7 linked regions of the Coturnix japonica genome follow. The protein of the gene in region 3 purifies or fractionates together with the protein of the main gene of each other region. This does not show direct contact. Links are inferred from orthologs where the notes say so. Each region holds a gene or a part of one and is shown on either strand. Other genes may lie near its edges. The genes, in order: CTNNB1, GIT1, RAC1, ARHGEF6, XIAP, CYFIP1 and DOCK1.

Region 1 (4,202 bases), on a different chromosome or scaffold from region 3:
CACCCCCAAAACAAGCCTTCTAATGCTTAACCAAAAAGTCAGCCAGCAATAGTGCCCTGCCCTCTTTTACCAGGAGTCACTTTGCCTGAACAGACAAGGAAATCGCATGCAATACTCAGTGCCACGCAGTCTGCAGAATTAGCACGGTGCCACGGCTAAGCCGGAGCTCCTGCAGAGCCACCCAGAAAGGCAGGAGGCTCAGGATTTGCAGGCACATGCTTGAGGAGTCGTGCACAAGCCCCAGCTGCCTGCATAGTTTCTCACCAAATCTTATCAGGCCCTATGAAGTATATGATGTTTAAGATAAGTAAGGTCGGTCCTGATTTTCCTGCCGCAGTACGTAGTCTGCCAGAGTTACAGAACAAGTTTTGCTGCCATCATCACCGCCAGCCCTGTGTTACCAGCTTTAACTGAGTTAACAGGAGCGATTCTGCTTACTGCTGTGTTTGCACACTAATCTGCCTACCAGACAGTATTCCACAGAAACATCTTTAGCCGTAAGTTTCAGACAGCACCATCAGACTCCCATTCACAAAGACAGATGATTACAATTGCTCTTTCCTGCTCCCTTCTTGCTATGTGCCTCTCTACTCCAAGAGTCATTTAGAAGGCCACCAAAACCGACTTTTCTCCTTTACAAAAGAATTCACTTAAGCACTGCGCTCTGAAAGACTAAACACAAGCTTCTGTTAGTTTAAAGTCACGAAAACCAACATTCACCACACAAAGAAAGCCTCATCTCTGAAGGGCAGCGAGGTTTCAGGACTGAGATTTGATAAGCTGGTTACTGACACACCAGGCAGTCACAGCAACATGCAAGCATTCATGAGAATGGATCAGGCAAGCAGCCCAGCCCATTTATTGCTTTGGTAAGAACAGGAAGCCTGGGTTGCAGGAGATGTAACAGAAGGCTACATTTGAAAAATGGATTGACTTTAAAGCAAATCCTTGTTTTTAGAAGCTCTCCTGCTTTGTCCTTTCATCAGGGTGTTTTTATTGATTTCTTCCCCACACTCTGAAATGAAACAGTCAAACAGATCAACATGAACGTTCTCATGTCTATCAGTTTGTAACTAAACAGATGTATGAACTAATAGCCACAGAACAGTGATATTTCCTTAGGGCTCCAGAAGAACCCAGCACTCGATCCAATTCTTCTTGCAGTGGCTGAATTTAGAGAGGTTTAAGACTTTTCCTGAACACTTCAGCAGCTCATTTCCAGCAGTACCAACCATTCTGCAACACACAGATAAAGGCAGCTGTCAGCACCTTTTATAAAGGGTGCAAGATTAACATTAGATTCCTGCATTGTCAGTTCCTGAAATTCACGTTATAACTTAACAAACAGCAATGAGCTTCACGCTCACTGCAGTTTTAAAGGCTTGCAGGAGGACATTACTAACATTCAGAAGCAAATTTGTTAAAGGAAGAGTTTATCTCCCCTAATTCTGAACTCAGAATGAAGGAAATAGTGACACGTCCAGGTAGTTTCCTAGCCTGCCCTTGCCCTATTCCGAGCACACAAAGATCCTGTTTTACTAAAACCCCTCCTTGATTTCCTTCCCCCGACCTCAGCATACCAGCCCGGCCTCTTTCCATTCACCACTGCATACTTTGGGGGATGGGAGGACCACAGATGTCTGGAACGTACCGAGTGTCAGAACAATGGCCGCTCCACGAGAAAGAGATCAAGAAGTAAAAGCCGACCGCAAAGATCAACACCGCTGCTCTCCAATTCACAACCCGCCCGCGGTACCTTCACAGCCTGTCCTCCCTTCCCAGTAACCTCTACCGGTGGTATCTCTTCTGGGAAAAGAGAATCCAATCGACTGCACGACGTCCTGCTGCGAGTTTCAGCTAGAGGATAACCGAAGATTTGGGGAGTTTTGGGAGAAACTTGCCCCAGGACCGTGCACAAAAGATGGCTTTTCAGGAATGGACACACCTGGGTCTCCCGTTTCACGGGGAGCCGGAAATAAGTGCCCCAAACATAGCTGGGAGCGACTGCCAAGTTGTTTCGAAGCGCCTTAGCTGGGGGGAACCGCGGTCCCCAGATGGGCTACAGGGTGTCTCAAATTGACGCTACGACCGCACTTCGCGGACCCCCATGAACAGCGTAAGCCCTCCAGCAATCACAGGCACGCAAATAAGACCGAAAACCCACGCGGCATCAGATCAGCTATCTCCCGCACACTGCAGCGGCCGTGATTAGTTAATTACACGAACAAACCCACTGCTCTCCGCCCCTCACCCCGCCACCACCACGACGGCGGCTCGGTGACCCCCCGAGAACCGAAAAACCCTCCCAAGAAGCCCCATGCCCGCCGAGCCTCGCCCCGCTGCCCGGGACGCGCTTCCCGAGAGGCCCCGGGGGCCGCAGTTGCCGCCTCCCGCAGCTGTCCCGACCCCTTCCGCCCCCCCTCCCGAAGCCCCCCACCCTCCCATCCGAAGCCCGGACCCCCCCCCGTTCCCTCTCCCCGCTGAGGGAAGGGCTCGCCCCGAGATCCCACCGGATGAAGCGGCACTAACGTGGCACGGAGGCGAGAGCGTAGCGTCCCCTCGGGCTCCGGCTGCTGCTGCCGCCCGGGCGATCCCGGCCGGATCCGTCTCTCCTTCCTCGTGCCGCCCTCCTTCTGGCTCAGCTCTCTCCCAGCTGCGTCCCCCGCCGCTGCCTCCCGTATAGCAACCGTGCGAGGCGGCGGCGGTAGTCCCCGAGCGCCGCTGCTTGCTGCTCCCAGCGCCGAACCGGGAGAGAGGCTTAAAATGGCGGCGCTCACAAGCAGGCTCTTATAGCGAGCGCTGGGCTGGCTGTATCCTGCCGCCGCGGCCGGGCCCAGCGCGCAGCATTCCACAGGCACCCAGCGCACAGGGCAGGGGGAGGAGAAATAGTGCCCGGCTCCCAGGGCGGAGGGAGACGGAGGAGGCCGAGGCGGCAGCAGGAGCCGCCTGAGGGAGGGAGGGAGCGAGGGGGAGGGAAGGAGGGAGGGGGCGGGCGGTGGTGGTTGGGACGCTGAGCTCCGGAGGTGGGGGAGAAGGGAGCGAGCGAGTGAAGTTGTGCTTGAGGGGTGCGGCCGCGGGGATCAGCCTGGAGGCTGCGTCCCTGCACCGTCTGTTTGTACGGAGAAGACTATTTTCAGTATATATATACATATATATATATATATATATATTTTTTTTTTCTGGGTTTTAAGCACGTTTCGCAACGCACGCCCCCGATTCACACAGCCTAGCTTGGGTGGCGGATGGGGGGGGGGGCGGGCTGGCTCCGCTGGCGTCGGCGAAAACGCGCCTCGCGTTTTTCTCCAGGAAGCGGCTGTTAAAGACAAGTGTCTCGTTGTGCGATTTATTGGTGTTTCACGAAAGAAGCGAGCAGCCCCGGACCCGCTCCTCACCACCGGGGCTGCCTCCTCTCAGCGTGCGCGGCCCCGCGGGGCGCGGCCCTGCCTCGGCGCCTCAGCGCGGGCTGCGGGACGGTGAGAGCGGGGATATGAGTTTGCTGCTCGTATTTCTTTTTCCTCTCGTTGTATTCAGTAATACACAGACTAAAAATAAAAGAAAGAAAGAAAAAAAGCCTTTTCTACAGCGATTTGCACGTCAACTTGCTCCCGTCGATGCTTTTATTTTTTTTTTATTTTTTTTTTTTCAAATGGGATTCTTCCTTGTGGTGAAAATAAAAAATAAGGAGGGTTTGCTGTACACAGGACACGCCCCAACCTCCCAGGCGGCCCGGGCACCCTTCCCATCCCTGTGGGGCCGCACCCCGTACAGGGCAGGGAGGCTTGTCCCATTAAAATGGCTCTCGAAGTAGTTACTCTAATAATAATCATCTTTGATTCCTTCCTGTTATGTTGTAGGGCTTGCAGCAGTGTCCCCCTACCAGCCTCTGGGCACCCGTAGGTTCCCGCTGTAAGAGGTGAACAGCCTTGAAGTTGGAGGTCCAAGGCATCCAGCTTCATTTGTTGCAGTGTTTTCTCTCAGGACGGTTGCCTGTTTTGGCTCCACAGGCCAAAAGGAGGGTAAGAATGAGGGCAACGAGGCGGCAAGAGCTGGCAAAGCCAACGCTGGCAGTGCAGGGCCAGCAGGCTGTGAAGGTTGGTCACCTTCCAGGGGAATTATCGAGTGGTGCTGCATGCCATGGAAGTGTGCAGCAATGGGCAGAAGGACCGTGGTGTTCTTGACTCCTGAAGTTTGACTCCAGTTGT
Region 2 (4,188 bases), on a different chromosome or scaffold from region 3:
GTGCACGAAGGCCAACATCTGGTACTTGGCGCGGATGAACTCTGACTTGGTGGGGCTGGAGACACAGGGTGAGGGGGGGGGGACATCCACCACAGCTCCCCCCATCCCCACAGCCCCATCCCCACACACAGCCCTCACTTACTGCACTTTATCCTGGGGATTTGCCTTCCTGCGCCCGCTCTGCACCTGCGCCGGGTCCAGCAGCGAGTGCTCCCAGATGGAGTTGGCCCCATTGCTGGCCAAGGTGTGCACCATCTATGCATGGGGGGGGGCACAGTGAGCCGATGGGACACCCCCCTTGTAACCTCCCCCCCCGGGTGCACCCACCTGCAGCAGCGTGGCGGGCCAGGGGCTGTGCCGCAGGTGCTTGACGATGGAGATGTGGCGGCCCAGGCTGCGGTGCACGCTGCAGCACTCGTCGCAGATGAGCACACCGCGGTTGATGGAGGCCCAGCCCGGGTCTGCAGGGGGCGTGGGGTGTTATGTAGGGGGGGCTGTGTGTGGGGGGGGGCAGCGTCACCGTAGCAACATGGCGGTTTCCAGGGTGACGGAGAGGGGCTCAGCCCATCGCCAGGGGAAACCCAAAGGGTTCCCTTAGCAACCAAGGGGGGGGGGCAGGATTTGGCCCCCTCATCAGAAGGGCTGACAGCAGCGGGGGCGATGCCAGCACTGTGCAATACACCCTTACGTGCCGATGCTGTGTCCCCTGTGCTGCGGGTGTCCCCATACAGGTGGGTGCCCTCCCACCCACTCAGCCATCACGGACTCAGTGGCTGTGCCCCCCCCAGCAGCCCCACGCCCCCTGCCCGGCCCCGCTCGGCCGCACTGGAGCCCTTTGTGTCCCCAGGAGAACAAAGGGACGTTTGAGCACTGTGCTGGCACCGGCCCCGCTCCAGCCACGGGGGCCCCACCGTTCTTTGGGGGCAGCTCCCCACAGCCAGCACCCCAATGGGTCCAGATCCCCCGGCACCAACAGAAGGGATGGGGGACAGATGGGGTGCCACCCCCCCCTCCACAGGGGGCAGGGGCAGGGTGGGCCATACGGTCCCCAGCGTCCCTGTGCCATAGCAGAGGAGTGTTGTGCATCTATAGGGCCTACACAAACACCGCGCCGCCCCACGGGAGGAAGGGCTGCGGGTGGGAGGGGGCAGCAGCACCACCAGCGACCCACCCCCATCACCCAGTGCGGCGCTTCCTTCCCACCCCCTCCCCAAAACCCCACTGCTGCCCCACACCAGGCAGCCCCGACCCCTCTAATATGGGGGGCACAGCCGGCAGCGGCCACAAGGCAGTGTTGTCGTCGTCCCCCCCCCCAAATCCTGGCAGCACCGCCCGGGCAGATGGCAGCGCTTGGCAGCAGCACCGCCGCATCTGCGCCTCCGCACCGCGGCCCACGGGGCGCTGCCGGGAACAGGATGCTGCGTGCCGGGGGGGGGGCACCCCATATAGCACCCCATATAGCACCTCATATAGCACCCCATATAGGATCCCATATAGGACCCCATACAGCACCCCATACAGCACCTCGCAGTGCCACCCCTTCCTCCTTCATTGGGATCGGGGCGGCTGAGGGCACAGCAGAACGGTGCTACCCCATAACCCGGAGCAATGGGAAACTCCATCCCTGCGCCGCGGGGGCGATGCCGGAGCCGGGCACCCCGCACATCCCGACACCGGCTGCTCCCGGCCCCGCGATGTCGGAAGCGGCCTCTGGACTTTATAACTCATTTCCTCCCATGGCCGCCGGGCGATAAGGGATTGGGAGAAAAAGCTTTCCATTTCCCCCATAGGAACCTCGGCACCGCCGGGTACCTTATAACAGGGGCTGACCCACAGCAGTGGGTGACCCCGCAGCCCCCCATGCACGTGGCCGCCATCCTCAGGGCTCTGAGCCGCTTTCAACGTTCATTCATTGCCCCCAGCGCCGCAGGGATGGGTCTGGGGGTCACAATATGGGGGGGGAGCCATCTTTAGGGTATGTTATAGAGATAATGGGGTGCAGCGGGGATTCCCAGTGCGGGGTGTAAAAGGGGAACCCGGGGGTAAAGTAGGGGGTGAAGAGTGGGGGGTAATGGGGGGCAACAAGGGGCTGTAAGAGATAGAACAAGGGGTCTGGGGGGCACAGGGGGCATTTTAGGGCTCACTGTAGGGTTCCTGGGTGCAGAACAGGGGCACCGGGGGGCACAGTGCTGGGTGCCGAGAGGGAAAGTAGGGGTACAAAGGGATGGGGAATGGGGTGCACCGAGGGTTGCAGGGGGAACGGGGGGGGGGTTTATTTAGGGCACGTTGTGGGGTTGCTGTGGGCAAAGAGGGAGTCGGCAGGGTATGCAGGGGGAACCCTGGGCTCCTGGGGTCTCAGCACGGGGTGTGAAGGAAGGGTGGGGGTCACTGGGACCCCTGGGGTAAATAGGGGGTGCGGGGGGGGGAGGGAGGCACCGGGGTATCGCGGGTACAAAGCTGGGGGTTCAGAGCGGGGCAGCGGGGTCCAGAGCAAAGGGGGAGGGGGGCGTCATCCAGGTGCTGATGCTGGGGGGGAGGGGATGGAGGCACACGCACAACCGAACTGCGAACGGCCCCGCGTGGAGGAGGGTCGGGGGGGGATAACGCCGACGGGGCCGGGCGCGGCCCTTCCCTACCTGCGGCACTGCAGTCCGCGCACACCTCCGCCCGCTGCGCCTTCCGGGACATCCTCAGCGCCGAGCCGGGCCCGGGTCTCTGCGCCAGCGCGGAGCGGGGCCGGGGAAGGGGGGGATGGGGGGGTCGGGTTGGGGAGGGGTCGGGGGGGGGCGGCGGGGCTCGGGGCCGCCTCGCCCTCCTGCCGCCTGCCCTGCCGGCTGCTCGCAGCCCCGGCGGCTCCGCAGGAAGCGGCTCAGGCCCGGCCCCGGCGGAGGAGGAGCAGAACCGCCCCCGCCCCGCGCAGCGCAGCGCAGCGCAGCGCAGTCACGGCGCGCCCTGAGCAGCAGCGGGTGATGGAGCTGCGGCCCTTTGGGGCGGATCGGGGCCCGTCCTGGTGCTGGTTCTCGTCCTCATCCCGGCTCTGTCATCCTCTGGTTCTGGTCCCGGTTCTAGTCCTGATTCTGTGCGTCTCCTTGTTCTTGTCCCCATCCTGGTTCTGTTCCTGGGCATTCCCTGCCTCTGTTCTGGTCCTGCTTTTGGGTATTCCCTGCTCCTGGTCTTGGTCCTGGGTTAGTCTTGGACCTTGTCCTGGTCCCGGTTTTGTCCTGGACAACCCCTGGTTCTTGTCCTGATAGTGATCCGGATCCTGGGCATCCTCTGGACCCGGGCCTGGTTCTCATTTTGGTCCTGGTTCTGAGTTGGTCTCATTCTAGGCATCCATTGGTTCTGGTTTTAGCCTTGGTCCGTGTCCCGTTCCAGGTTCTGACCCAGCCCATGTCCCGGTTCTGATTCCATGCACTCCCCGGCCCTGCCCCCAGCCCCATTCCCAGCCCAGGGTCCCATCCTGCACCCGCACCCCCGAGGCCCCAAATCACCCCGACCCCCACCCCCACGATGGCTGAACCTGGCATAGTGTGTGTGGGGGGGTTTGATACTGGGGGTGCCCATCTCTGTGCCGTTGTCAGATGGGGTCGGGGGGCGCCACCCCCAGCCCGGGGGACCCCGATCAGCGCCCGGGGCTGGGGGCACAGCGCCGTGTCACGCTGCACCCGCCCGGCGCTGAGCTCACCGCTGCATGGCCGTGACGTCACGGGACAGCGGGACCTTTGGGGGGGGGTCGTCACGGCCACAGCCCACCATAGGGGCGGGGAAGGAGCGGGGTGACCCCGCGGGAACCCCATAGGGGCGTGGGGAGGGGTCGGAGGGTGGGGGGGGGGCAGCCGTGGGGCCCAACCTCGCATTGTTCTCTGGCGGCTGCCGGAAAACACGAGCGGAGGGACGGGGGCGGAAAGGGAAATGGGGCCGGGGGGGGGTCGGCACCCCACGGGCTCATCGCGGGGGTCGCGCTGCTGCGTGTTGAGCGCCCGTGGGTGGGGAGAGCGGGGGGGTGCGATAAGAATTCAGGTTGTGCCTTCGGGCGCTGCGGAGCCGTCCCCGAACAGCCCCATACAATGGGGGGGGGCATAGGGCCGGCGGGGGGTGCGGGGAGGAAAAGGAGGAGGAGGAGGAGGAGGAGGAGGAAGGGGCGACGCCGCGCTCAGTGACTACAAGTCCCATGAGGCCGGGCGGTGC
Region 3 (4,091 bases):
TTAAGGATATTCAGCCTGAATGACGAATCGTTTCAGCTTCCATCTGTACGGGGGAACGTGGACATACAGGTTTTATAAAAACAGCCTTTCTCTTTTCAGAGATAGACACTGACATGAAATATCTGAGAATTATCATTGCCCTCCAAAGGAAAGAGAATAAATATTGTGGGATGCTCTGTCCACCGACGAGGTTTCATTTGATAGTTTCCAAATAATTTAGACATGTTCTGAAATGAATAGGAGATGAATCACTGGATAAATCCCTGGGATGGCACCTCTGTTGATTGCAGTGAATGGTCACTCAGCACAAGCAGTGACTGCTCGGGTCTCTTCCTCGTGCTTCCTTTGATGGATGGCAACACAAGGAGAATGGTGAATGTGTGCATCAGTCCAACCAGCAGCGTCTTCCAAGGAGAATAACAGCAACTGTGGAAAGGAAAAGGCTCCTGGGGCCATTGGGCCTGATCTGCTCAACTTTTACTTCAACAGTTACAGGAAATAAATGGTTTCCTTAGGGTAAAAAAGAAACCCAGGGCTCTGTGCAGCCTGGCAGCCCCGGTACGCGTGGTCCAGGCTGCCCCACCTGGGGAAGCTGGCTGTGCACTGATCTGGGCTAAAACCTGCCGGCAGATTGAATGAATGTCACAGCATGGCAGGGGGAGAGAGGGCAGCAGGAGGATCTGCCGATGGAAGGAGGCTTCTGGCTGCGCTCTGTGCTGGCACATGGAGCGAGAGGGACCGGCCTGAGGGGAAACGGGCATCTGTCCGTGGTGGCACACAGTGAGTGCCACAGGTTGGCCTTAACTCGAGTTACATCGGTAAATCTGTACAGCGAACCTAATTCCACACTGACACGTTTCGTACAATGTCGTGCATCGGTTTGTGCACAACAGCCTCGTGGCAGACCGGCCTGAGGAGCGTTGAAGGCAGGGATAACAAAATGGTGTCCAAAGGAGCGTTTGCTGTGAGCTTTGTGGCCATGCGATAGCAGTGAGCCGGGCAGGGCGGGATGGCGGGGTTCTGCATCCCGGTGTGCGGGCACACCGAGCTACCGCCCGGCCCGGCAGCACCGCTGCGTGACAGCGCGATTCTGTGCGGCTCCGTGCGAGTCAACGACGGCAAAAAGCAGAAGGGACCGGGACCGGCCCGTGTCGCAGCGCTGCGGGGAAGCCCGGCCCGACCCCGACGGGCGGAGGAACCGGGCGGCGGCGCCGCAGCGTGTCCCGGGAGGGCGGGGCGGCCGGAGCGGGCCCGGAGGCGGAGCGGCAGCGCGGAGCCCGGCCGGATGTGAGCGGAGCGGCCGCTTCCTGTTTCCCGCAGTTCTCTCCCCGCCCTGGGTGGTGGCCGCTGCCTCGTCCCCGCTCGCAGGCTCAGGGCGGAGGCGGCCGCGACACGCTGCGGAGCGACTGAGACGCGCTCCGCCGCCGGCTGCTTTATCGAGCGGCGCTCCACGCCCCGCCCCGCTCCGCAGCCGCGATGCAGGCCATCAAATGCGTGGTGGTGGGCGACGGGTGAGTGCGGACCCGCGGACCGACCCCTTCGGTCGGGCCCGAGCCCGAGCCGCGCTGGATCCCGAGGGCGGGGGCGGCGCGGGGACGAGCGGGGGGTTGGGGCTTGTGCGGGCGGGGGAGGGGAGCGAGAGCGGGACGGGCGGCGACCAGTGCCGGCAAATGGAGGCGACGGGAGGGGCGGGAGCAGCGCGGCCGGTGCGGGCCCGAACGCGGCCACAGCCCGAGTCCGAGCCCAGCCCGAGTCCGAGCCCAGCCCGAGTCCGAGCCCAGCCCGCTCCGCGCCGTGGCGGCGGGTGGTGCCGACCGAGGCGGCTGCGCGGGGCGGGGGTGCGGGCGGCCGGGCGGGGCCCAGCGGGGCTGCGGGATGTGAGCACTGGGAGCTGAGCACTGTGAGCTCTGTGAGCTGTGCAATGTGCGTTGTGAGCTGTGTGAGCTGAGCACTGTGAGCTCTGTGAGCTGTGCAATGTGCGGTGTGAGCTGTGTGAGCTGAGCACTGTGAGCTCTGTGCGCTGTGCGGGGCCGCGCCGGGGAGGAGGCAGCGCGTCACGGGGGGAATGGGCTGAAGGGCGGGGGGCGGATCGTACCGTGTGGAGCCACAAAGTACCGAACTCACATCGCTACATCCGCTTTTTGCTGCACAACTACGAACAATCTGTTCCGCTCCAATCGAACCATACGCGCCGTGTGAGCTGAGCGTTTTCCTGCTCGCACGGCTCCCGTCTGGGGAGGTTCCTGCCTGCAAGAGGCTGAGAAAGCAATCGAAACCCAACTCATTAACATCGTACTCAGCTGTAAATCACTGCTGTGCCTACAGCGCTCCGAATGGGATGTGCCTTATACATTAGTTAGAAACAAGTTGTTAGGATCAGGTTAGCACTAAGCTGACCTGTTGGATTCCAGCATAAGCACTGCAGCTGTGATGGGGATGTTGTGTTGCTGCTTCTCAGTACTCACCACCATGTGTTGCCATTGGCCCAGAGGCTCCTTTCTCTCTCGCTGGGGCAGCAGTGCAGGGCAGCTGAACAAGGCGTGGCTTGTGCACTTCCACGGGGCTTTTTTCCCCCTCGGTAGAAACAAAAATCCCAGTGTAGGCCGAGCATAATCGGTGTCACAGCAAACCCCTGCGGGTGACAGAGGCTGTAAGTGTGGCTGATGGCCTTGCTGCTGTCTCTGTAATTGAATGTGGTGGATTAACCTTCCAGTTTCCTGTGTGTGGCTTTGTATTTTTCAACAAGGCTTGGAGTCCCTGAGCTGGCAGCTGTTAGAAAGATAAACTGAGCTCACGTGGCACATGTGTTCGGCCTGCTCTTACTGTGCAGGGTTTTGAGCCGAACACGAGTGTACTGAGCACTTGATCATCTGACAGAGACTTGTCATAGCACTGTAACTGATGGATCCATCACTGTAATTGATGGATGGTGGGCAGTGTGACTGCAGGCAAACCTTTCAGTTGCGTTGACTTTAAAGGTGACTAAAATCCCTTTTTTTAATTGTCATTTTTAAAGTGAATTGATGTCTGTGGCAGTGCTGGAAATCAACGTGGTGCATCGAGTTTGGGTGGGGAGAAAGTTCTGCCTGTTTCCTCTGCTGGGTTGAGGAGCTCAGTACGGACGCTGTGTTACTCAATGACTCGCTCAGCAAAGCAGTTCTTCTTTGTCTCTTGCTTTGTAAACTACTCCTTTTCTCAATGCATTTCCTGCTGGAAATGAAAGTGTGTCATCCCACCCAAGTCTTACACGTACGTGTGAACAAAACACGGCATTCAGTGGGCTTTCCTTCCTCTGCAGTTAGAAGCACATACCTCCTAGGATCCCATCTAGAAGCCGCTGCTCAGTTTTGCTATCTGTTCATTGACTTCTGCTGGGATTTTTAAATATTTTATGGTGCTTCTCTGCTGTTGCTTCACGAGTGAAGACATTACAGGCGTTCTGGTAAATGCGGAATGTTTGGCTTAGATAAGGCTAAAGCTCTGGTACTTCAGGAAAACAATGCAGGTTAAAGATTTGCTCATATGACATAAAACTTAGGCGCTGATTTATGTGCCCTGTGGAGATCCACTGGGAACAAACCAGCTGTGGATGTACCTGTGCAGCCTTAACAGCTGGAAGCAAGCAGGCGGTTTCTGAGCTGTTTTTGTTCTTAGGGCTCTGACTGGTATCTTTTTAGAGCTCTAATTTGGCTACAAAACACAGCATGTTTGCTGGTTGTGCAATCTTGTTTTGCCCTTGTTTTCCTCTTCATTGTGAGGATTGTTAGAGGGAAAATAAACAGCAACTGTTGCTTGTGCTTGTGGAAGATGCAGAGCAGTAGGAACGTGTGCTGGGATAACAAGGGCAGGAGCTGCTGCTGACTGACACTTGTGGAGAGCACTGCTAGGAGTTATTTTTAGCAGCTTTTGTTTTCACTCTGAAAAAGCAGCTGTTCAGTGGTATGAAATCTCAAGTGATCTCGTGTAACGCTGGGGGAAGTTCTGTGCTTTGGAATGATGATTATTGGGTGACAGAGAAACGGTCAGCTTCCTGCTCTTCTGGAGCTGGTTTTCATTGTAAAACTATTGTAAGAAAAGAGTCTGTCTGGAAT
Region 4 (3,958 bases), on a different chromosome or scaffold from region 3:
GAGGGCCCCCGCCATCTTATGGTGGAAGCAGTCGATATGATGATTACGGCAGCACACGTGATGGATATGGAAGCCGAGAAAGTTACTCAAGCAGCAGAAGTGATGTCTACTCAAGTGGCCGTGATCGTGTTGGAAGACAAGACAGGGGTCTTCCCCCATCCATGGAAAGGGGCTATCCACCTCCTCGTGATTCATACAGTAGTTCAAGCCGCGGAGCACCCAGAGGTGGTGGCCGTGGCGGAAGCAGATCTGACAGAGGTGGAGGCAGAAGCAGATACTAAAAACACTCTTAACTTTTTTTTTGGACCAAGACATTACTTTTCAAACAAAGTAAAAAAAAAAAAAAAAAACAAAAAAAACAAAAAAGTGAAGTTCTATCTTTACTACCAGAGGACTACTAAAAGGAAAAGTTGTTTTTACCTTTTTTTTTTATTGTTGCCTGTTAAGTTTTCCCCTCCGTGACTTCTATGCTTTTGTGAAGAAAATTTAAACCAGTGTTTAATTTCATTTCAGAATTGTTAACATTTCTTTCAAAAGGCAGATGTTAAATGTATAAAGTTTGAGCTGTGTACTAGTGTTGTAATTTCCAAAGTAAAGTTTCCCTGAAATGGCACAATTCCCATCTGACTTTCCTCGTGAACGGAACAAGCAGTACTTAAGCTCTTCCACACGACATCCAACTATCTAATATGGAGCTGGATTGTTCTACATGTTCAGCATCTCGTTCTTAAAGTGTTGTTTGTGATGTGGAGGGTGGTGGGGATGTTCCACAAAAACATTCATTTTTGTCTAGAATTTCAAGTCAGTGTTCCCTGAAGTCAATGTTCCCAGTAGAAAATGCCTTCAGATCTTGTGTTTTAAAAAAAAAAAAAAAGTCACTCCACCTGGAAAAAACATGTGGATAATACTAATTTTTTTGCCTTTCTCCTGCTTTGGGGGGAGTTGAAAAAGTTCTCCCCATCAAATGAACCATGTACATACATGTAAGTCAGCTACAGTATACTGTTTAAAAAAAAAAAAAAAGAAAAAAAAATAATAAAAAAGTTTGACCAATTCATCAAAGAAGCTACCAAGCCATGCTTACTCATACTGTTTCAAATTTTTGCAACTCTGTAGTGTTTCACTTTTAAAGGAACATCTTTGATTCCAAAGGAGAAAATAAGATAAGCAAAGAAGTCTTTCTCTCCAACTTCTCAAAGGCTTATGGCTTCCTAAAAACAAGTGAAACTTTCAGCATTCCACAGCTGATTTAAAGCAACAAATGCCTGTGAAACAGCAAAGATGGTAAGCAAAGCAAACTAGTTTTTCAGTCTAAGTCAAAATTGAACCAAGTTTCTTCCTCTAGTACGGTAAAACCAGCTGCACGTCATGGCAATGGAAGTGCTGTCTAGATTTTAAAAAAATAAGGAAATGAAATACTTCAATACATTAGAAGTTCTCAAAATTCAACATTTCTTCTTGGATAAAAGCGTTTATGGCACCAGTTTTGAATCTAAACATAAGAATGCAGCTCGCTGTAGACAGAATACTGTGAAGTAGGGTTGGGAGGGGGTATTTTGTGCCCAGTATCTTTCGTTGAAGATGCTCAAACAGACTGCGTGTACTGTTATTTTAAGAAAATTAAAAGACTTGTGAAGTCAGGAATTGATTTAGATTGACAGATGCCATCTCAGCTATTGGGAGTTTGAAGCAAGCCATTGCAAACTTGACATTTAGTTGGATGCCTGACTGTTCAGTTTTGACACAGCGTTACAGGAATACCTGGTACATGTGGCAGAACCTGTGACAAGTTATGACTCAGGTAAAGCCATGAAGTTCAAATGATGCTCTTGAATGTAGTATACGTGAAGACCTCCAACTAAAAGCAAAACCAAAGCTTTTTACTTCTGTTTAGTCCTCAGTACGTTTTGTCATTCAACTTATGGATTTAACGTGGCAGTGCACCATTGAAAAGGAATGAGAATCCATAAGCCATGCAACCAGTCACTAAGTCATTCCAGTCCATTCCAGACCAGTGAATCCTCCACCACTTTAAAGAGAAGTAGTAAAACTTGAAACAGACTAATCTGCAAACCCAAGCTTGTGACTCTTGAAATGGGGGGAAGCACTATAGATTGACTCGTGCTGTAAAATGTATTTTTCTCAGCTTGCTTTATTTTGATTACAGGATGATAACTTCTGGAAGATGCTTCTGAAGTAAAGCAGATTCGTCTGGTTTGGTGGCAGAGATGAGTGATGCCTGTACTGATAGATCAGGTAATTACTGTATTTTTGTAGTAGTTCTGTAGAAGATTTTTGATGGATCTGTATTGGGGTGGATATCCTTAGTGGCTAAAATAATTCTTTCAACTCTGAAAGCAAAATTTGGAGGAGCAGGTCTAAGCAGGGCTTTCAATTGCCAAGTTAGGAATTTCAGTGAGTGACTTCCTCCTAAAAGAAATGGTCCACTTGGGGAACCAGTGATCATAAAATGCAGTTACGGATAGACCATAAAATGCATTTAAGTATGAATGCACCATACTTAGTCTAAGATTCTTCATAAAATAAGACCAAAACATCTGGATTGGAGTAACAGCAAGGGTCTTCAGATTAAATTGTATACTTCCCACTTACTGCTGCTACTTTAAAGTACTTTTGAGATCAGGTTTTAAAAAGGTGAAAAGAAAATGCTACACTTGATACTGTGGTTCATCTGACTAATCGTGTTTGATTTTAGGTTAGATCTGTCTTGGATAAAGGAGATAGGTTCTGTTGCACACTGTGTGCTGTTATAATCTCAGTTTGCTTACAGCTTTTTGCTATGTGCAGTGCTTTTGTCAGAACATGCCATTAATACTTTGTACGTATTCCTGCCAAGTTCCTGCTTTATCTCAGGGTACTGGATTTTATTTCAGATCAATAAAGGGCATAGTACAGTGATGGGACCCAGTAGATCATGTTCATGGTTGGGCTCAATGATCTCGAAGGTCTTCTCCAGTCCAGATGGTTCTGTGATGGTGTGACATACAAAAGCAACATCTGTAGTTTCTGTTCTGAGGCTGATTAAGTACATAGTTAAGTAAAAGCTACTAACTCACCACTTCTATCACTTCTATTTTGGTGTTATTATTCAAAGAATTTCAACGTACAAGTGTTAATTTCCTCATCTTTGCGGTGCTCTTGAATGTTCAAGTGTTTAAATCACAAATCCTTCTGGAAGTGACACTGAACCATGTTTTTCATGACAAAAGCACCAGTATCAGTAATAGGGCACTGAGGTGGAGTCAGGAAATAAGTCTTGAAAATAAACTCTTCCTCCACCTACAACAAAATTAATAGGCATCAGTCTTTAAAGTTTGAGGCTGGTCCATCCAGACCATTAGTCTTGCTAACTAAAAGGTGATTCCCTATCTTTAATATGCAGCATCCTAGGTGACAGTAAAAGGTCTTACCAAATCATCATACAGATTGTGTCAAAATGTTGTCAATTTCTTTTGGTATTTATATGCCATGTTGTTGTTAATTCTCTCCATCTCTTCTCTGGGAAGTGGGAAATTAATTAGTCCTGGCAAGTGAAAATCTCTCTCTTTGAAAGTGAAGATCTTTATCAGTTTACTAGATTTGTTTTATCACTTACAGGTGCTTATTAGACTGTGTTGGAATTATTAAAGATAAACCTGATGTATTTTTTTACTCTTGGGACAGTTTGGAAATAGCCAAAATACATTTGCTGTGTATGCAGCAACAACTTGGTGATGTGACTTTGTCTGTTATGTGCTTTTTGAGAGCATACTAAGTTGAATTTCCTTTCTTTCAGACAAGAAGAAGGCAGTGCAGCAGTGGATATACACTGGAAAATAGAAGAACAACAAAATGCAGCTAGCCAAAGTCGACTTTTGAGCGTGGTGTCACCCAGTATTTGTTTCAGAGTTGTGTTACAATTTAAGGAATTTTCTTTGAAAGTAGCCCATCTGATCTT
Region 5 (4,227 bases), on a different chromosome or scaffold from region 3:
GCCTATAGTGAAAGGTGCTTCAAAGTAATACAATTCATTTTACTGTTGAGTCACCAAAGATGTCGTTAGTTTTGGCTTGCAGTACAACTTACTGATTCAGAATTTTATGTTAAACTGAACTTTAAATTGGTTGAACAGAAGAACAAGAACTGGCTTGTGTAGAAGGTAAAACATTTTATAAGCATTACTCTTCTTATTGTCATCATTTTTCTTGTTTGTGATGTTTTCTTATGTTTTGGTTGCTCTGTGTGTTGGGTCTAGAAGTTTTGGGTTTTGTTTGATCAGGATGTTTGATTTAGACATCAAAACCCAGAAGAGGGTCACTGTAAAAACACCTTGTGGTATTAAAAAAAATGATTTGCCTCGTTTGGAAAAGCATCAAAACCTCAACAAAGCGATGGCATTTGTTAAAATCATTGCTAATGAATGCATTAGTAATGTGGGATGGTGAGGATTTATAAGATTAAATATTCACATTCATCCTGCTCTGTTAAGGTGCTAACCTCTCACCGTGTCATAATACGTCTGAGATCTTTAAGTAAATAACTGTGCTTTGCTATGGTGTGAACTGAGTGTGGACTGATAGGAATCTTTACTAGCGAAACACAGCTATTTCTCGGGATATTGAAATCAGTACAATTATCATCTTGGGTTTAAATTCTTAAATAATATTTCTGTCATGTGATCCAGAACGATAGTCTGCATTTTCAGTACAGCCAGTTTTCTCATTTAGAAACGACTTTGTTTTGACTCTGTACAGATACACTGGAGGTTTCAGATCAGGTGAAATGCCAACCTGCAGAGATGTCAGCCCACACATTGCTGACTCGGGACTGGAAAAACTCGTTGTTCTCATGAGAGGAGGGAGGAATAAAGGCAAGAAGACAAGTTCTGCGCCAAGTTAGCAAGCGGCGTTGCTGGCAGCTCTCATCTTCAGGGGGTACCTCAGAGAGCAGCACATGGCGGATGTGTGCTGCCAGGGAGGTTGTGGATGCCCCGTCCTTGGAGGTGTTCAAGGCCAGGTTGGACGGGGCCCTGGGCAACCTGATCTAGTAAATGTGTATGTTTGGTGGCCCTGCCAGGCAGGGGGTTGGAACTACATGATCCTTGAGGTCCCTTCCAACCCGGGTCATTCTGTGATTCTGTGGCGGATGACTTCTCACGGTGGCCTTTGTGCAGACCATGGATTCTGTGGGGAACAACCACTCCCTCACACCATCTTTCAGCGGCCCTTGAGCACCACGCCTGGCCGGTACCCAGCGGGAAGTGCTGGCGAGCGGGTTGGGGGCTCTTCGGCCGCTCCACTCCACGAGGAGCGGGCAGGAAGACCAGCAGCCGCTGAGGGGTGATGCGCTGCCCGCCCGCCGCCACTGGGTGCCGCCGTCTGACAGCGGGCCCCGCACTGCCGCGCTCCCCCGGCCCTGTGTGGGGCGCTGCTGCCGAGCGGTGCGGAGCCGAGAGGCTGCCGGGAGCCGCCATTTTCTCAGCCGGAGCGATTCCCGCAGCCGGGGCCGGTGAGGAGGATACGCGGCGCGGTGAGTTGTCAGGCGGGCGCGGCGCACTCGGGTCGGCGGGCGGACTCCCCGCGCGGGGTAGGGCCGCTCCTTTCCAGCCCTGGTTCTGCTCGGGGCCCACCCGCCCCATGTGCTCGAGGGTCGCCGAGCCGGGAGGCGTTGCCACAGGAACGGGCGCGCCCCCTCCGCTGCAGAGGTGTCCGCTCGTGGTTTCACAGCCTGGGCTTTGTGGTATCCACTGAAGTGTCTGCTGCCTGGAGTTGTGATCTCGTGTGTAGGACAGTGTTCGGATGGAGCAGAGTCGTTCAGCTCTTCCTCCTGTGCTGCTGCCCGCACTGGAGCTGTGCTGTGTGTTACGTTAGGGATGAGGTGTGGTGGTGTTTGCTTCACTTACACCAAAAGAAAAAAAACATTTTGCTGATGGATGCTTCCAAATCCTTTCTTAACTAATAGCTTGATGCAGTTAAATATACACTGAATTATTCACCTCGTCTCTTGAAATAACTGCGTAAGATGAACTTTAAGAAAGCAAGTTTTCATCTGGGGATGAAAAGTTTTGTTGAATAAGTCTATATTTTGATATATTTTTTTTGTTTCCTTAAGTGCTTCCTTTTGCTGTCCTGTAGTTTTATTTAGGACCCATAAGAGGACACACGAGTGATTCAGTCCTTTTGGAAGTTGGGCACCCACGCTGTTGGCCAAGAAGGGCAAAGAAATGAGTTAATGACAGCTCTGTGCTTCCTCTGACCTTGCTCCTTGTAACCAGCAGCAAAAGTGAAAGAACTCTGATGTGGGTGTGGTGGGGTTTTTTTCTGCTTCAAGTGATACGAGGCAGACTTGCTTCTGTTATCAGAACAGTTAGAAAATGCGTGTTCCTATCAAAGCCTTTGGAATGTGAAGGTGGATTTTGTTGCAGGCTTCTGTGTGCCCACGATAGTGATGGTGCACCTGTTGCTGTACTGCCAGGCTGGGCGAGGCAGCCAAAGGGAGTTGAAGTGTTGCAGAATATCCAGTTCATAAGTCAATGAAGAGCTCCCTGTGAAGGAAAGGATGTATTTATTTATTTGTTTGTTTATTGCCTAAAGATTGGTGCCAGAACACATGAAACTTGTATCTGCTTTAGTTAATCTGCTGCTAACCTTGGTTGGTGGCAGGATACCAAGGGGAAAGCCATTGTAGATACCCTTTCATTCTTATTTTCCATCAGGAGTTAATGGATGTAGTCTCTTGCAGCTTATTTTTCATAGCAAGAGGTCCATCATGAGATGTTCTATTCAAAAGGCTCTGAACACAACTATAGGAAGCCAGGCTCTAGAAATAGATTTCTGAACCTAAGGGGAAGAAAATTTTAGTTGTGCAGATAGGCTGAAGGTATGTGAAAGTGGAAGAAGGCGTGTTGCACAGCCTGATTTGGGTTGTCCTTCAGGACTAGAAATGCTATTGTTTTAATTGGTGCTGCTTCTTAACAGCTCAGACTGTATCACAGAATGTTTTACTTTTTGCCTTTTCTATGCTTGGTTAGTTATCGGGTGGATACCAGCAATAAGATATTTGACCCCCTTATACGTTGCTGTGTCTTTGAGTAGACGAAGAAGGGACAGCAATTGATTTCATAAGGAGAGATTTTGCACATCTAGTTTTAGGAACGTTTCCTATTTTAGAAATGGAAACTGTAATACTGTGTGCACAACTGAAAATTGTTACCAGAGAACCTGGGTGCTTCCCATGTTAATTTTGGACTTGATGACTATCCAAAATCTTCTTTACTAGAGTGCAGGTTCTATTTTAAAGCTTGCTTAGTGGAATCTAATCAATGTTGGAATTGAGAAGCCATCCTCAGTGAGCAATGTCACTTATGTAATATAGAACGTAAAATGAAGCTGGTCTTGAAGTTTGCTGTCCTTCCCCTTCTGTGTTCTGAACGTTTTCTTATTAAACAGTAAGGCAGCATTTGGTGCTGAGTGCTGTCTGCAGGTGCAATTTTCACGTTTCACTTTTGTGTTAGAATTAGTCCTCGAGTCATCCCAACTTGATAAAAAACTTCAAGTATAGAGGATAATTCAAGAGATTCCAAGCACACAGCTGTGTGTATGCACACCAATTTGGGTGTGTATGATTTCAGCCCATCGATGAATGACAAAGCATTCATGCTAGTGATACTGGGCTGAGGTGCCATTTAGCCCAGATGGATTTGCTGTGTGAGCAGCCCAGCTGGGCAGAGGTCATGGGCTCCCTGTGCTGCCCTGCTGCTGCAGTTTCTTCCTTTATAATCGCAAGGATCTGGCAGTTTTGCTGTGGCATTAATCACTTTACTGCAACTGGAGTCCAGTCTCATTATGTCCCCTTGAAGAGAGCTTGTCTCTTTCTGTCTTTTCACTCATCTATAGGCATAAATGTTTTCTAGCTGAACAGTAAAAGCATGTGATGCTGCAAGCTGGAGCACAGCTCATACTTGAGAAGGGAGGAGTATCCATGGTCACTGCAGGTTTTGCCAGGTGTTTTTTATCACTGCCCATTTTGTTCACATATTCCCATTGACTGCCTTTTTTTTTTCTTCCTAACCAAGAAGAGCAGTAACTCCGTTGTATTCCTGCAGTGATACACTTTATAGTCACTGATTGATACTTTTGATGGATACTTTGTTCCCCTGTTTTAACTCTGTGGAGGGTTGGATCTGTATAGCTTGCTTCTCAGTTTATTGAAGTTGCTTTGT
Region 6 (3,500 bases), on a different chromosome or scaffold from region 3:
CTTGTTAGTCATAACTCTCTCTCTGCTGGTGATATTGTTGTTTTGGGATACAAAGGAACTTGCAGGTTGTAAACACTGTTCCATTCTGAACTTTTAGTTGTTTTGTGCTGGTTTAAAAAACATGCAGTAAGATGTATCATTCAGCTTGCAATACACATTTGCACATATACTTTCTGATAAGAAAAAGTTTACTTTGGAACAATGGCAGAGAAATGAATTTAACTCCTATGTTTTACACTGCTATATTGTTACCGAGTTTCTCTCTTGCAGAATGAAATGTTAGAAGAGGGCCAGGAATATGCTGTCATGTTGTATACATGGAGGAGCTGCTCAAGAGCCATTCCCCAGGTAAAGGGTCCGAAATAAACCATCATGTATCATGTGCACTTCTGTCTTGGTTACAGATTTAGTAATGAGTTCTGAAATTAAGTTTGCTTTGATCCCTGAATTAGCAAGCTGTGCATGCCATAGAACAGTGTCTTAACACATGGGAACTAGTTGGACTTCTTTTTTTTTTCTTCCCCAAACATTTAAATTCAGAGCAGGTTTAACAGGTGATGCAGCATGTGATAATTAGCATTTGGGTTAAACATCCTAGGTTTTCAAATGGTTATTTTCTCCTTGTCAGAGCTATGCAGTGTTTTCTTGATCCGTGTGCAGAAATAAAAGCCTGTGAATGCATGTCTGGGAATGGTGATACGGGGATGGGATGGGAAGAATATTAAGATGCATCAGGAAAATTAAAGTTGTGAATTGGCAACAGCTTGCAAATATTTTTATGCACAAAGAACAGAGATAACAGAGAAAAAAAAATAAATCTCAATTTCTGTTTTTAAACTCGATGAAAAATGGCGAAGATTCACTAATGCCAGCTATCGATGCCTTAAATTTGTATAGTTAAGATGAGAATATGTTTTCTAGTTTGTCATTTGGGATCTGAGTTTCTGAGGGAATTTTTTTTTTTATCTGGGAAAGCTGTAAGTGTGATTGATGGTCTTTCTAATTGTCTTCAGGTTAAGTGCAACGAGCAGCCTAACAGAGTGGAAATTTATGAGAAGACAGTAGAAGTTCTGGAGCCAGAAGTCACAAAACTTATGAAGTTCATGTATTTCCAGGTAAAAGGAATAGAAATTAAACATTTGTTAGCAATATTATATGCTTATTCTGTATGCTTGATATTACATGCTCAGATATTCAACTTAATCGTTATAATTTGGTGGAAAAAAAGATCTCTCAGAAGGGCAGCATTTCTAAAACTTCAGGAGTTTCACAGAATAAGAGAATTGCAGGGGTTGGAAGGGACCTCTAGTGATCATTGAATCCTACTCCCTGCTAAAGCAGTTCCCTACAGCAGGTCTCAGTGGGAAGCATCCAGGTGGTTCTCGAGTATCTCCAGAGAAGGAGACTCCACAACCTCTCTGGGCCACCACTCTCACAGTAAATAAATTCTTCCTTGTGTTTGTATGGAATTTCCTGTGTTCCAGCTTCTGCCCATTGCTCCTTGTTCTATTGCTGCGCACCACCACCTAAAAAAGAGATTCCTCCATTAAGACTTTGAGGATAAAATAGAAGGTAATTGCACATGGTCCCTGACACCATGGAAGGAACAGAAGTGCAACACATTTTGTGTATGTGTAAGGCAATCTCAGATGGCCCTGGTGCACACTTGGAAATAAGCCCTCAAATAACCACGTGCAAAGATGGCTGTGCTGACATTAATCACTATTCTGCTATAAAATCACTTGTTTCAAAGGGATTTTAAATTTTTCTGACTTCAGATTGCAGATAATATTTCCAATTGTGCCAGGCAGGTTCTGCCTGTCATAAGGAAATCCTTTGTGACATTTGTAGTACACAGAGGTGAAGCTGGAAAGGCCGTGCTCATGTGTTGTTGGCCTCACAGGCCTTAAATGTTTTTGTTGCTTTGGTGGTGCTTTTCATCACCTCTTATAGGTGCACCAAAGTGGACTGTTGTTAAGAGGGGAGGACAGACAGGTGTGAGACCTCTGGTTGTGGGATGAATCTTGGAAACATTGTGGCTTTTACTCTCTGACTCTTTTTTGTTTCGTTAGAGAAATGCAATTGAACGGTTTTGTGGGGAGGTGAGACGCTTGTGCCATGCAGAGAGGAGAAAAGACTTTGTCTCTGAAGCGTATCTGATCACACTGGGCAAATTTATCAACATGTTTGCAGTACTAGATGAGCTGAAGAATATGAAGTGCAGTGTGAAGAACGACCATTCAGCCTACAAGAGGTGAGCTCTTAAGGACAGGATCAGGATTTATGCTGTGGGGAGACAGAGCTCCCACAAGATGGCAGCAGTAGCTCCCTTTTGGGCAGCTTTTTCTGCAATTACTGCAGCTAAACCATTGACTAAATTGACTTTCTTTATGCTGCTCTTCCAGCAACTAAAGATTGTTCTGTCTTTTGAGGCAAAACTGGCAAGTACTTCTATCATGGCGTTCACTAAATGTATTGGATATGCACTGCTCAATACTGCTTTTCAAGTTTCAGAGAAAGCTGACTTTTTGTTCTACTCCAGTTTTTGGCATCCAGTTTTGATGCTTGTAACTTAAAGTTGTTCTTACGATATTTCAGTGTTGCTCTTAAGAATTGTCAATAAAAGGGTAGGTTTGGCTAACATGTTTTTGTGAAGCTTTGGCAAGAAAGCACTAGCCTTATGTGTAAAAATCTTTTTCTGCCTGATTCAGGAGATGGGAGATATGCAAAGGTCAGTAACCTTGTACATGCAACAAATGGTGTTGCCATTGTACTGATTGTACTGATAGTTACAGGTTCTATTGACTACCCGATAGATGCAGAGATGAGTGTGTTGAGAGGGGATGAGTTTGCTTACAAGCATTGCCACTGAAGGGAAATATGGTTGTTTTATTTTCTATTTGCAAAGAGCTGCTCAGTTCCTACGGAAAATGGCAGATCCTCAATCCATTCAAGAGTCCCAGAATCTCTCCATGTTCCTTGCTAATCACAACAAGATAACACAGGTAAGCTTCAATTGCCTTTTTCCAAAATACTGAATGCTGTATAAAACCTTTAAAAGAAAACCCTTTCAGTTTGGTAGTAGCTGCTGATCCTAAGGGACTGTAACTTCTTGACTAATGTCCTTTCTCCTTTTTTTTTTTTTCCAGTCGTTACAGCAGCAGTTGGAGGTGATTGTTGGCTATGAAGAACTGCTTGCAGATATTGTGAATTTGTGTGTGGACTACTATGAAAACAAAATGTATCTAACCCCCAGCGAGAAACATATGCTTTTGAAAGTAAGTTTCTTTTCAGTACAAACTTAAAGAAAGGTTGAAGCAGAACAAAGATGTTTGCATTCTTCTTGGATTTTTGTTTCCTTTTGCCAGAACCACATGAACTTTTAACACTGAATCTGTTAAGGAAACTTCTAATCCATTTTTGTTCTTCATAAATTGAGGTTAGTCTAACTGAACTGCAGCCTTGTTGGGAAACTAATTCTATAGAGTGGTGTTTCTATG
Region 7 (3,500 bases), on a different chromosome or scaffold from region 3:
CCTGAAAGCAGGTAAGATTTTTCAGAGCGAAAGGCTTTTGATCTAGAGATAGCAGGTCTATCAGGGTTTGTGCTAACTTCGAGCCATCAGATACTTTTAGAAACGAGCTGGTTCCAGCTCTCACCCTGTGGCTGCAGACTGCATTTATCAGATATTTTATGATATAGCCGATATGTTCTGAGTGCCTCAGCACCTCTGCTTGTTATGATGGTATGTTGGCACGTAGACCATCTGCCTCTTGGAATTACTGGAAATCCTGTTTCCCAGTTCATTTCAAGGTTTTACTTTAATGGGGGTGAGGCTGAAGAGCGTTTTGAGACCTAAAGCTAAATGTAGTCCTCCCCTGAGACCTGTGGCAACAAAAACATCAGAAATCTCCCCTTGCAGTGTTATAGCAGACCTCCATAGACCGTCATGTAAAAACACCTGTGTGAGATAAGTTGAAGGAATTGAAATGTATCCTTTCAAATTAATAATGAAAATAAAGGATAGAACCAACAAGAGAACTGAGGTGTTTCTGGAATGATACGGTACATAATCTTAATGATGAGGATGTATTCTTTCAGTCCAGGAGTAATTGTGTGGTTGGTTGTTCTGCTTATTTGTTAGCTTCAACTCTATGAGTTGGTAGTTCAAGTTTACAAACCATAAGTCAATTTTAGCTAATCATAACTGCTTTCAGCACTGCTGGTTTTCAGTGTTGAAAATATGCTGGCTTTCAAACATTGTCCTGCATGTAAATATGTGTGTGTTTGTTACTAGTGATGTTGGTCATTGATTCTATGCGTTGCTTCAAACTTTGTGCTCCTTTTCTTGTAGGAGATGTTCGCAATGATATCTATGTGACGTTGGTTCAGGGAGATTTTGACAAAGGCAGTAAAACAACAGCAAAAAATGTAGAAGTTACAGTGTCTGTTTATGATGAAGATGGGAAAAGATTAGAGGTATTATTTAGCGAACATTTCTATTTTTTTTTTTATATATATATATACGATTCTTCAACATCTTTTTAGATATTTTCAACTTTAGTCCCTATTTTTGTTTACAACAGAACGTTCTCCTTCTCACAGTTCCTTTATCAGTGCATGTGTTCTGTCATATTTTGATCTACTTACTGATTTATCTTTTATTTGTCGAATTGAAAAGTCGAGGTGAAGATGGACATAACCATTTTCTCTTCTGCTTGTGTTTCCTAGAGTGTTATTTTTCCTGGTGCTGGTGATGAAGCCATCTCAGAGTACAAATCAGTAATATATTACCAAGTAAAGCAGCCTCGCTGGTTTGAGACTGTCAAGGTACGAACATGTTATAATAATTTCATCCATCGGTGTTCATACAAAGTTAATATAGATTTCAGTGGAAAGTCTTGAGAAGCAAATCTAGAAACATGAATGCTTGTAGCCATTCTCAGTAGAACAAAAGGAGGCATTTCAAAGATGGCTGGAAAATGGATTAGTCTTTCATTGCATAAAAATTGTATTTCATCCTTCTGGTCAAGATGGCTGTTTTGGGGGCACTGCACCATCTGTTTGGGAACAATTTTTACTCTTTCCATGAAACTGACCTGCAAAAGCAGAATATTGAGATTAAAACATAATTGCTATACTGTTGAACTTATCGTTGTTTTGGGACTTGGCTGATTGTACTGCAAGCTTGCTGGAGCTGCTTGGATAATAACATTTTAGCTTAAATGCTGATTTTTGTGTAGGAGGCCAGCGTTAGCTTAATGAAATATTCTGTAGTCAGTGGGAACAGTAGATGCATATCAAAGAAAAGAGGCTCTTCGGATCTCTCTGCACCGTGGTTTCAAGTCAAAGGAGCTCTCAATGCATGTGGCAGCAGAAAGTTGTTGTTGGGGGGTCTCAGAACCCCAGATGTGGTAGGGAGCAGCAGGCAGCACGGAGCTTGCTGGTGCACACAGCTAAGGAAATACAGCAACTGGAGTGAAAATATCAGGGGCAAAGAGTAGCTACATCTCTGCATGTTGGTTATGTCTGGATCAGTGACGCACTAATAGTTTGTGTAGTGCAAGTGGTGCATAGGTAATAAATATCTTACAGAGTTCACCTCTGCCAGTCATAGTCAAGGGGGGCTTGTTCCTGAGCTGGGAGGATTGACAGGGAATGCTTTGAGGTTTCAACCATTGTGGCTGTGTCAGCCTTAGCATCTCCATGTCTTGCTGGGTAACTTGCTGGGTAAATTGTTGATTTTCCTAGGGAATCTGTGACCGTTGGTCTTTGGTGGCCAACTGAAACTTGTCCTTAGCATTAATGCTTTGTAAAGAGCCAGGACTGGTGTTGAAAATGTCTAGATGAGATTTGGTAGTGGTAGATATGTTTGAAGATGCTGCCCTGACTGTTTCCTTTCTCCATCCTTTCCCACAATACGTGAAGGTTGCAATCCCCATTGAAGATGTGAACCGGAGTCATTTGAGGTTCACGTTCCGACACAGATCATCACAGGACTGTGAGTAATTTGGCCTTTTCATTGTGATTCTTGTCAGTGTCTGGTGCCAATATCTGCTGAAACAGGCATAAAATGTCTTATCCGTAATTGACTGTTACAATTGGTTTTGCTGTGGGGGTAAGCTTTTTGCCTGCTTGTTTTATGTTAGCTTTTCAACTTCTTTTCTCTTTGCAACTTATAGATTTTACCTTCGGCATTGCCTTTTCTTTTCCTGTCCAGTCATTTCTCCACACCATATTGAACGGCTAGTGGGTAAATCCTTCAGTTAGGAACTGATAGTTGGTAGTGAGATTCTTAATAGCACCTCACATATGAAATAAGAATGTGAAAGAGAAGTGACAGGAGGCTTAGGATCAGTAGTAGAAGCTATTAAGAAACTTGGTTTCCGTTTCTGGTTTTCAAGCTGACTTGTGGTTGTTTTGAAGTAAGTGATACTTGAGGGTTTGTGGTTCTCCTCAGCATTTGGGTAACGTTGGCAGCTCAGATGCTTTCATAGGCTGAGCATCCAGCCAATCCTTCTAGACATCTTCCATTTGTCACCAGTTGATCTCCAGTAAAATGTGGGTTATGATAACATTCATTCCCTGTAGTAATGACAGTGGCTGCCTCACTGGACAAGAACACCTTTCTAAGTTGTGTTGACCATACATGTGTTGACCAAAGTGTTAATCAGGTGGCATCCACTGGATGCATTTTAAGGTATGCAGTACTTTTTATGTATACTCATCTGTGTAGTGTGGAGTTCACTATCCCATAATGGTTATTTAGTTAAAGCAGTATGCTTTGTAATATGGTCATTAATAAGAGATTCTCTGTTTCGAGATCTAGTACCTACTAATGAAAACAGTGTGCAGAGAATCAGTGTCACTGGTGTCCACATTACAGTTGTGAACTGCGGACTACTAGAGTGAAAAAGTAAATAGTATGTGGTGGTACAAACATTTAAGTCAGCCATGGTTTAAATATTAATTACAGTCTGTGCTTTAGGGCTGCAGTGCTTCTTCATAGGCTCATTGGACCATCTCAAGTTGGTT

Evidence for each region.
Region 1: the proteins of RAC1 (region 3) and CTNNB1 purify together in Homo sapiens (affinity purification with western blotting; 4 studies listed by BioGRID, with this or other methods). This does not show direct contact. The link is inferred for Coturnix japonica from reciprocal best matches to the Homo sapiens genes RAC1 and CTNNB1.
Region 2: the proteins of RAC1 (region 3) and GIT1 purify together in Homo sapiens (affinity purification with mass spectrometry; 3 studies listed by BioGRID). This does not show direct contact. The link is inferred for Coturnix japonica from reciprocal best matches to the Homo sapiens genes RAC1 and GIT1.
Region 4: the proteins of RAC1 (region 3) and ARHGEF6 purify together in Homo sapiens (affinity purification with mass spectrometry; 3 studies listed by BioGRID, with this or other methods). This does not show direct contact. The link is inferred for Coturnix japonica from reciprocal best matches to the Homo sapiens genes RAC1 and ARHGEF6.
Region 5: the proteins of RAC1 (region 3) and XIAP purify together in Homo sapiens (affinity purification with western blotting; 3 studies listed by BioGRID and IntAct, with this or other methods). This does not show direct contact. The link is inferred for Coturnix japonica from reciprocal best matches to the Homo sapiens genes RAC1 and XIAP.
Region 6: the proteins of RAC1 (region 3) and CYFIP1 purify together in Homo sapiens (pull-down; 3 studies listed by BioGRID and IntAct, with this or other methods). This does not show direct contact. The link is inferred for Coturnix japonica from reciprocal best matches to the Homo sapiens genes RAC1 and CYFIP1.
Region 7: the proteins of RAC1 (region 3) and DOCK1 purify together in Homo sapiens (pull-down; 6 studies listed by BioGRID and IntAct, with this or other methods). This does not show direct contact. The link is inferred for Coturnix japonica from reciprocal best matches to the Homo sapiens genes RAC1 and DOCK1.

The regions. Positions count from the first base shown.
Region 1 is NC_029517.1:39,909,123-39,913,324, reverse strand, and holds the start of CTNNB1 (catenin beta-1), read right to left. Parts: upstream 2,801-4,202; 5' UTR 2,530-2,800; exon of another isoform or gene 2,511-2,529; intron 1,802-2,510; exon of another isoform or gene 1,652-1,801; intron 1-1,651. UniProt on the Homo sapiens protein: Key downstream component of the canonical Wnt signaling pathway.
Region 2 is NC_029534.1:4,843,467-4,847,654, forward strand, and holds the start of GIT1 (ARF GTPase-activating protein GIT1), read right to left. Parts: upstream 2,801-4,188; 5' UTR 2,689-2,800; coding exon 2,637-2,688; intron 462-2,636; coding exon 328-461; intron 256-327; coding exon 143-255; intron 56-142; coding exon 1-55. UniProt on the Homo sapiens protein: GTPase-activating protein for ADP ribosylation factor family members, including ARF1.
Region 3 is NC_029529.1:8,463,519-8,467,609, reverse strand, and holds the start of RAC1 (ras-related C3 botulinum toxin substrate 1), read left to right. Parts: upstream 1-1,291; 5' UTR 1,292-1,476; coding exon 1,477-1,511; intron 1,512-4,091. UniProt on the Homo sapiens protein: Plasma membrane-associated small GTPase which cycles between active GTP-bound and inactive GDP-bound states.
Region 4 is NC_029519.1:4,266,646-4,270,603, reverse strand, and holds the start of ARHGEF6 (rho guanine nucleotide exchange factor 6), read left to right. Parts: upstream 1-1,158; 5' UTR 1,159-2,256; intron 2,257-3,796; 5' UTR 3,797-3,958. Other genes in the region: RBMX (RNA-binding motif protein, X chromosome), read left to right, coding at 1-281. UniProt on the Homo sapiens protein: Acts as a RAC1 guanine nucleotide exchange factor (GEF).
Region 5 is NC_029519.1:14,642,539-14,646,765, reverse strand, and holds the start of XIAP (E3 ubiquitin-protein ligase XIAP), read left to right. Parts: upstream 1-1,427; 5' UTR 1,428-1,535; intron 1,536-4,227.
Region 6 is NC_029516.1:117,490,442-117,493,941, forward strand, and holds part of CYFIP1 (cytoplasmic FMR1-interacting protein 1), read left to right. Parts: intron 1-270; coding exon 271-348; intron 349-1,013; coding exon 1,014-1,115; intron 1,116-2,072; coding exon 2,073-2,254; intron 2,255-2,908; coding exon 2,909-3,005; intron 3,006-3,149; coding exon 3,150-3,278; intron 3,279-3,500. UniProt on the Homo sapiens protein: Component of the CYFIP1-EIF4E-FMR1 complex which binds to the mRNA cap and mediates translational repression. In the CYFIP1-EIF4E-FMR1 complex this subunit is an adapter between EIF4E and FMR1.
Region 7 is NC_029521.1:29,272,342-29,275,841, forward strand, and holds part of DOCK1 (dedicator of cytokinesis protein 1), read left to right. Parts: intron 1-819; coding exon 820-944; intron 945-1,196; coding exon 1,197-1,295; intron 1,296-2,393; coding exon 2,394-2,466; intron 2,467-3,500. UniProt on the Homo sapiens protein: Involved in cytoskeletal rearrangements required for phagocytosis of apoptotic cells and cell motility. Along with DOCK1, mediates CRK/CRKL regulation of epithelial and endothelial cell spreading and migration on type IV collagen.